Linked DNA regions of Rattus norvegicus. The protein of the gene in region 1 interacts with the protein of each later gene in a pairwise test. Links are inferred from orthologs where the notes say so. Each region holds a gene or a part of one and is shown in the gene's direction. Other genes may lie near its edges.

Evidence for each region. The genes of interacting proteins can lie anywhere in the genome.
Region 2: the proteins of Ube2k (region 1) and Rnf167 interact in binary tests that used the Homo sapiens proteins (3 or more experiments, as listed by UniProt). The link is inferred for Rattus norvegicus from reciprocal best matches to the Homo sapiens genes UBE2K and RNF167.

What each region holds. Positions count from the first base shown.
Region 1 is NC_086032.1:43,069,371-43,073,670, reverse strand, and holds the start of Ube2k (ubiquitin-conjugating enzyme E2 K), read left to right. Parts: upstream 1-1,500; 5' UTR 1,501-1,668; coding exon 1,669-1,731; intron 1,732-4,300. UniProt on the Homo sapiens protein: Accepts ubiquitin from the E1 complex and catalyzes its covalent attachment to other proteins. In vitro, in the presence or in the absence of BRCA1-BARD1 E3 ubiquitin-protein ligase complex, catalyzes the synthesis of 'Lys-48'-linked polyubiquitin chains.
Region 2 is NC_086028.1:55,858,100-55,862,053, forward strand, and holds the start of Rnf167 (E3 ubiquitin-protein ligase RNF167 precursor), read left to right. Parts: upstream 1-1,154; 5' UTR 1,155-1,766; coding exon 1,767-1,850; intron 1,851-1,926; coding exon 1,927-2,007; intron 2,008-2,030; exon of another isoform or gene 2,031-2,917; intron 2,918-3,138; coding exon 3,139-3,264; intron 3,265-3,362; coding exon 3,363-3,450; intron 3,451-3,612; coding exon 3,613-3,703; intron 3,704-3,882; coding exon 3,883-3,954. Other genes in the region: Slc25a11 (mitochondrial 2-oxoglutarate/malate carrier protein), read right to left, coding at 27-179, 704-798.

The sequences.
Region 1 (4,300 bases):
ATACCTACAACATTTCTAGATTTATATCATAGCAAAAATCCTTTGTAGTGTTCAGTTGTTCAGTATATAGTTGACGGTCCTTATAACCACTAGAGGGCTCTGCTATAAGATCTTTTATAATTTATGTCTGTCTACTCAGGGAAAGGCTTTGAGATGTTTCAGAATTTTGAACTCTTAAGTTTAAACAACCTCCTCATTTCACAGACGAGGGAACCGCAGCTGGCAACGGATATAGGAGAGAAGTGGGAGCACTCTTAGACTGGTTTCTCTCGAACTCATGATCCTCCTGCTTCTGTCTCCCAATCTAGGATTACAAGCCTATACCACTACATTCAGCTCGTATTAGTCTTATGATGGAATACTGAACTGATTGATTAGGTGAATACATGAAACATACTCCTAAAATAATACCTTCATTATTTCACAATGTTATTTTCAAAAGTATTCCTCAGCATCTACATTCCGTTATTTGTTTTAAACTCTACTAACCACTTTCAAATAGCCTCTCAACGTTGTTGCTCAATTAAAACATTTTACTCGGTCATCTTTTCTCCACTCAATTATATTCACTCACTGCTTATTGACATCTACGAGCGCCAAAAACCTTTGTAGGTCTAAAGTTCTTTCGGCCTTCTATTTCTCCAACTGTCACTATAAATTATACAGACTTTCACATGCTTAATTCAGCCATTCTCACAGCGTGGTCGCTGAAAAACAGGCAGCAGGGAGTTTGCTCGCAATGCAAATTCTTAGCCCCATCCAGACTCTAGGGATAGGTCCTAGTAATCTAACCAGCTCTCCAGGGATTCCGAGGTGCGTTCAAGTTTGAAAAACATGTTAGTTCTACAGCTCAGCATTGACTATCTAAACAGGTCAAAGATTTAACTTCTGGCTTTTAAACTCATCACAGGCCTGTCCCCGGCAACACCTGTATCAATTACAACCCGTGGGACGCAACCATTACACAACCTTAAAAATCTGTAATACCTGAGATGACCGAATAATAGTTGCGTTATCATGGTTCCAGAACAAAAGCTACGGCAGTGGATATCCCGGGGGTTTACCAACGGACGCTGGGCAGGACCCAGTTCCTGCATAGTTTTTTCCTCCGCTAGACACAGGGAGGCACCTCTAGCCCGTGGGTTCTGGGTCTGGCCGAGTTAGAGCGAGGCTCAGCCCGGCTGGGGCCCCGGGAACCCGCCAGGCGGGGCTCCCACCTCGGGTCCGTGGCTAGGGACTGGAGGCCTCACCGTAAAGGGGGCCGAGGGGCAGGGGAGGACCCCGCAGGCCCAAACCCCGCGGACCGGCACAGAAACCGCACCCTCCTGGCCCCAGCCGCCGGCAGGGCGGAGCCACGCGGCCGAAGCCCCGGCTGAGACGCGCGGCGCGGGCTCGCTGCTGAGACGTATGGGGCTACCACTGGAGCGGCTGCGCCGCCCGCCCGGGTCAGCGTGGTGCGCATGCGCGGACCCGGCGCCATTTTGGTGGCCGGGCGCGGAGGTGATTCTACACTGAGGGGGAACGCGACGGCAAGGGTGGCAGTGGCAGCGTTCGTGTGCTCGGGTCTGAATCACTGAGGGAGGAGGCGGTGGAGGAAGAGGTGGCAGCGGTGGCGGTGGTCGTAGCGGTGGCGGAGGAGGCGGGTACGAATCAGCTGCGGGCAGAGACATGGCCAACATCGCGGTGCAGCGAATCAAGCGGGAGTTCAAGGAGGTGCTGAAGAGCGAGGAGGTCAGGAATGAGCTACCGGACACCCCCATCTCAGCCCAGGGCGGCAGGGCCCTTCCTTCCGCGACCCCGGCGGTCCCAGCCGGCCTCGCTGCGGCCGCCTTTCTGCCTATGGGGAAGCGGCGGTCTCCCCTCCTCCTCCCGCCGCCTTTCCCTCCCCTCCCCGGGCCCTGGGATAGGCGGTCTCGCGGGCGGCCGGCCGGCCTGGGGAGGAACAGGGTTTGGGGGGCAGATGCCGAAGCACTCGTCCCGGGCACGTGAGCTCTAGAGAGAGCCCCGAGGCGGCGGCAACAACATCTGGAAGTGTGACTGTACGGTGGGGAAGGAACAGGCCGAGAAAACCCGGGAAGTGGGTTGGGGGAAGGGGAAAGGTAGTAACTAGATCCCCGGCAGCAGCGCACCTCACAGGCCCACGCTTTCAGGGGTACTGGGGATATTGCCTGCCAGGCCTTTGCTGTCTTTTCCTTGGGGAAGGAGCCTTCACAGTCTTTAGGTATAGACGAGAAGACTTTCAGTTGCTCCCTTACGGTACAGTGCTGGGGGATCTATGGAGACATAATGGGCATTCTTGAATTGGGAAGGGGTGTTGAAACAATTTTCACTATAGATAAAAAAATAATTCCAAATTAGATAGTCATCTCTTTTCTACGTACCCAGCCAGTAAGTAACTAGGCCTCCTCACTGATATTTAAAGCTTTTTGTCTAGTCAAAGGCAAGTTGTTTGTTAATTAAATGATTTGAAATAGGAAGAATAATGGGAGTGTGTGAGTAGCTTATTTCAAAATACTGTTCACCCGTATCAGAGAGGCTCTCCTAGGGTAATGCCTCTGTGACTAGTGTTGTACTGTGAAACTTCATTATGATGTCCCTCATAGTTAACTTGAGTCTTACTTTTAAAAAGAGGCCTATTAAAACCAAGGGATTTCATCAGATACACATTGTTGTAGCTCATTATTGAGTTAGGTTTATTTTTCTGTCACAAAATATATCAGGAAATAGCATATTTAAAAAATAAAACTCTGACTGCCTGTAAGTCCTGCAAATTTTAAGCATATTAATGCTTACCAGATTTATTTATGTGAAATATTGAAAGTAATAATTTTACTCTGCTATAAAAGTGCTAAATCGACAAAAATGCCAGTTTTTCTATGATTGAACTTAACAATTCTGAAAGTAATTATTTTTTTCAAGGTTCACAGTTTTCCTATTATGCTTGCTTGGTACTCTGATAATGTCATTAATGATTTTTAAAATTCGTCATTTTAAGCATATGAGAAATTGTTAGAAATCTTGTAGCTCTCCAGCTTTATTGTGCCCCCAAGCTTGCAGACAATTATCCATCGTTCCAAGTAGACATGAAGAAAGTCACTTAAAATTGAAGTGACAATGTTAGCAGCGTTAGTGAGCATACTAAGAAATACGTAGGGATCTGTCTTACGTAGCATGAACTCTGACCTCTGTATTCATTTGCCAAAACTCTGAATGGAAGGATGACTTTGTATTTTTGTGAAACAATGCAGAAACAATATGAATGACAGTATTCACATTTTTAATGGTGATTTATTTAAACTTTTTCTTTAATAAGCAAACTTAGTTTGGGGTCGTTGTATATTCTTATGTTGTTAACAACCTACAACATGTATTCTATAATAAGGTTGTATGGGTCTTTAGACCTCTCATGCTTTCTTTTATCTAAAAGTGTCAAGTTACTGCCCTGAAAATTGATATACCCTCTTTGCTTTGTGTGGTCTGACTTTTCACCATGGCATTTGGTGTTTAAGTTGAAGATTATCGGCATTTGTATGACTCTAGTAGTACATATTATTACTATTCTACTATTTAACTGATGGGCTGAGTGGCCAGCTCCATTTACTGTTCTACTATTTAATTGATGGCTGAGGAGCCTGATGACCGAGTTCAGATTCAGACCCACATGCTAGAAGGTTTCTCTTTGACCTCTACACCCAAGTGTGCAAATCGGATAAAAGCTCCTCCTCTGGTTAAAAACATTGTCAATGGTTCTCAGGAAGGAAATAGGAAATATGAGTTCAAGAATGGTGCCTTAAAAACCTAGCAGGGAATTCAGTTCAAGGAAGTAAGTTGCAAAGAATATTTTGGAAAAGATCAGATAAAATTTAATATTGTAAAAAACCACAGCCAACAGTTAGCTTTATCCTCACCAGTATTTTATTTCATTTCCCTAGATAGGTTGTGTTGATTTCACCTGAGTGAAGAACCCATAGTGCAGTCTACATATTTCCCTTTTAAGTGCGTAAATATGAGCTTTTTTTTTTTTTTTTTCGGAGCTGGGGACCGAACCCAGGGCCTTGCGCTCGCTAGGCAAGCGCTCTACCGCTGAGCTAAATCCCCAACCCTAAATATGAGCTTTTGAGTAGTTGGTCAAGTCATTAATTCACCGTGTCATACAGGTTTAATTCATTTGGTAGTGTTTTGGTGGGTCTTACAACTTGATTTCCTTTTTGCCTGTTTTAAGTGCCTTTGTAAAGATAACTGACCTGTCAGAGCACACTTTGATCCCAGCACGGGAGAAGCAGAGGCAGGCAGATCTCTG
Region 2 (3,954 bases), on another chromosome or scaffold:
CCCTCCCCAACTTGAGGCCACAGTACCCAGTGTAAATGCCCCTCAGCCCTTCTGCCTTCAGGATGCTAGTGAGGGCATGGAAACTGGTTTTGTACTCTCGAGTCTTGGCGCCTTCACCACTCAACTGCATCCGGTTCTTCACCAGGTCCAGGGGCTGCACAAAAACGGTAGCGCCCATCCTTAAGTAAGACAGGGAAGAAATCAGAGGTCAGCTGTTCCAGCTCTACTGTAACCTGGCAGCAAGAAGTTACAAAGGTCAGGGACTGACATGCAACTAAGGATTCAGGAGGCTGGTGGGAATGTGTTTAAGTGTGTGCATCAAGGGAAATGTGCCAGAAAAAGTCCAGTTGCCCAGTAAAGACCACGCAAATCAAAATACTTCGGGCAGTTCTTTAAGGTTCAAGCAGAATTAGGACTACAGGAAGTCTAAGGAAGGGTGGAAAAGGTGTCCTATGATAAAGCCTTTAGTGGCCTCGACCCACAACCCAAACAGGCACAGTGAAGCAATGGTGGTGGAAACACGGGGCAATGACCCTTGAATACAGCCCAGTTGGGCCCCTGCAATGGGTGAATAGATCTTAGCAACCCATCAGGGACCCCGCACCGGCTCAATTTACTGCAACATACTCCCAAGTTGCACTGGGCCCAGTTGCTTGCTCCCATCCCTTCCTCCTTTTTCCCCAATCCTGGGGCCTGAGCTTACCCAGCCAGGCCCCCAAACAGGAACTTGACAGACTTAGGGGAGGTACGGGGTTTCCCGTCCATCCGGCCAGCCCCGGGACTCGCCGTCGCCGCCATCGTCCCTTGATGGCCCTCGGCTTTGGGTCCCGTGCACGCACAGCCCCGCTCGCGCCCAAGGTGACACCAGCGCGCAACAGGGGGAGGGCGCGCGCGCGCACGCCCCTCCGACAGGCAAATCTGGCTCCAGCTGGAAGCTAGGGCGGGCGCAGGCTCGTAGCGCAAAGGCAGCCGGGAATAAGGCGGGGCTAAGATGCAAGGCGAAGGGGCGTGGCCGATTTAGGAAGCTACCCTGTAGCTCCCGCCCCCCAGAATTGGAATCGCGGGAAAAATAGTTTGTTTGAAAATATCGCGAGAGCAAGTGAGTCAGTCGAGTTCGAGCTATGAGGCCTCTCGCGGTAATTTCCAGCGGCGAAGGAGGGGGTAAGAGGCTGGTGAGCATTCTCGCGATACTTGAACGTATCGCGGCGGCCAGAAGAAGGAGAGGTTTGTAAACAGGTAGCTCCAAGATCTCAGGGACTAAGGGAAAAAAATTAGATCGTTTGCTGAGCACCGGAGCTCCCTTCATCTCCGCAGGCACGCTCTACGTGTCGAACATTTCTTTCAACCGGCCTTTTTGGACCGGAAGTCCTCCGTCCTGAGCGTCCAATACTGGAAGCGGCCTTTCTTACCGGAAATCCTTTTCCAGGGGCATAGGAAGAAGGCCTACCTGGCCGGAAGTCCCACCTCCTTGAGATTTCTCCCACCCAGAAGTTATTTTTTGTTACCTGTTTGCCTTCGTTCCTATTCTGTTCTACTTCTGTACCAGAGAAAGATACATTGTCTCCCTTTCCACCTCCACTAAGCTGGTTTGATAGCTCACTTCCCGAATCGGAGTTCCTTCCCCGACGCCCCCATGTAGCTGAGAAGTGGGACCTAGGGGTGGTTGGACCCCTGGGATCCTGAAGGAGAGGCAGAGAAGGCGCAGGACTTGGCTTCTGCTCCTGCTATCAGGACGCGACCTTCCCAGCTTTACCCCTCCTGCTGCCATGCACCCTGCGGCCTTCCCGCTCCCTGTTGTTGTGGCTACTGTGCTGTGGGGAGCAGCCCCTATCCGAGGGCTTATTCGAGCGGTGAGTCTGAGGGTCGGATGGGGAAAGGGTGTTGAGAATGGGTTTCAGACTGGAAAATGTACTGTTTTATCTGCAGACTTCGGAGCACAATGCCAGCATGGACTTTGCAGACCTTCCAGCTCTATTTGGGGCCACTCTGAGCGATGAGGGACTCCAGGTGATGCTTTCCTCATTTCCCTACGTGTATCCTGGGCAGGGGTTAAGTATCCGTGCTCAGGAGGTAGGAAATGGTTGAGATAGCAGTGGAATACATTGGACTGTGGGATACAGTTCAGTGATAGGGTGCTTTTCCTAGTATGAGTGAGATTCTAGGTTGAATCTCCAGCAACCCTCCCCTCCCCCGAAAAAACATGTGCATGATCGTGTCCAGCCCAGAGTCCAGAATCTAGAGATAAAAGACAATGTCCACCCCTAGAACTCCCAGGTATTTTTTTACTTTATGTACTTAGGTGTGAGGGTGTCAGATCCCCTGAAACTGGGAGTTACACTCAGTTGTGAGCTGCCATGCCACATGGGTGCTAGGAACTGAACTCAAGTCCTTTAGAAGAACAGCCAGTGCTATTAACCACTGAGCCATCTCCAGCCCCTAGAATTTCCAAATTTAAGAGGAAGTCTGAGAACAGGTTAAGATAAGGAACAGGTGCTTATCAGCCATGTCTCTGGAGCTACTTACTATCTGCATGGATGGCTGTGGACAGTCTTTTATTGGAAAACAAGTAATAGAAATTAGTTTAGGGCTATTGTGCTAACTAGTGAGATAAGCATGTCTGTAGAGTTCATTACGAAGTTCTTGCCACATAACTACTGCCACAGCAGTAGAGTTGTAAGATGGCTAATTGGAAAACGAAGCAATTGAATATGCTGTGAAAGTCAAATAAGTAGCAAGCTGAATCACTGTCCCTGGGAAACTTAAAAGCAGAACTAAACTAGCCTTGAGAAGTCAAGGGAGCCTCTGGGTAAAGGGATGTTGTTTACTGTAATTGCATCTTCAGGAAGCTAAGAGATCTTTTCTGTTTTTTTGAGACTGGACTCTAACTCTGGCTGTCCCTAACTCACCGACCGTGCAGGTCAGGCTGGCCTCCCAACTCATTGCACTCCCACGTGCTGGGATTAAATGCATGTATCACCATGTCTACCTGAGTTGTAGATTCTGATTTGGGTGGGACCACAAGAATGAGTAATGGTAGAGTTGCCGAATACAGGTAGTATGTGTACTGTTATGTTTAGTAGGTCCTGTGGAAGACAGAATACTAAAAGATGGAAAAATCTGTTTGCCTTTATCCCTCAGGGGTTCCTTGTGGAGGCCCACCCAGAAAATGCCTGCAGTCCTATTGCCCCACCACCCTCAGCCCCAGTCAATGGGTCAGTCTTTATTGCACTGCTTCGAAGATTCGACTGCAACTTTGACCTCAAGGTTGCTGAATGGGGAACGGGTGGTAGTAAGCAGGGTAAAATGACACCAGGAATGAAGAAAGGCAAGGTTTGCAACTCTGTCCTGCTTTGTCTTTTTAGGTCCTAAATGCTCAGAAAGCTGGGTATGGTGCAGCTGTGGTACACAACGTGAATTCCAATGAACTTCTAAACATGGTGTGGAATAGTGGTGAGGATGAAGAAGTCTGTACTGCTGGGTCTCTCCATATAGTTCAGTGGGAGGGCTAAAGACCTACAGGGCAGTTGGTTGAGACCTGCAAAATGTGCCTAAAGCCAGTTTCAGGGGATTGAGGAATGGAAGGTTAAATCCCTAATCTCCTGCTCCCTACAGAGGAAATCCAACAACAGATCTGGATCCCATCTGTATTTATCGGAGAGAGAAGTGCAGAGTACTTACGAGCTCTTTTTGTCTACGAGAAGGGGTAGGACATATGCTTTCTTCCGTCTTCTTTTGGGTTCCATGCCAGTCTGGAACCCAACTTCACTGCCCTATCCACTCAGGTTCAGGGTCTTCCTCATCTGTTTTGATTTTCTCATTTATGCCTTGTCCCAAGCCAGTAACCTTAGTTTGCCTGGCTTGAGACTGTCTTTTTTTCCTCAGGGCTCGGGTGCTTCTGGTCCCAGACAATAGCTTCCCCTTGGGCTATTACCTCATTCCTTTCACTGGGATTGT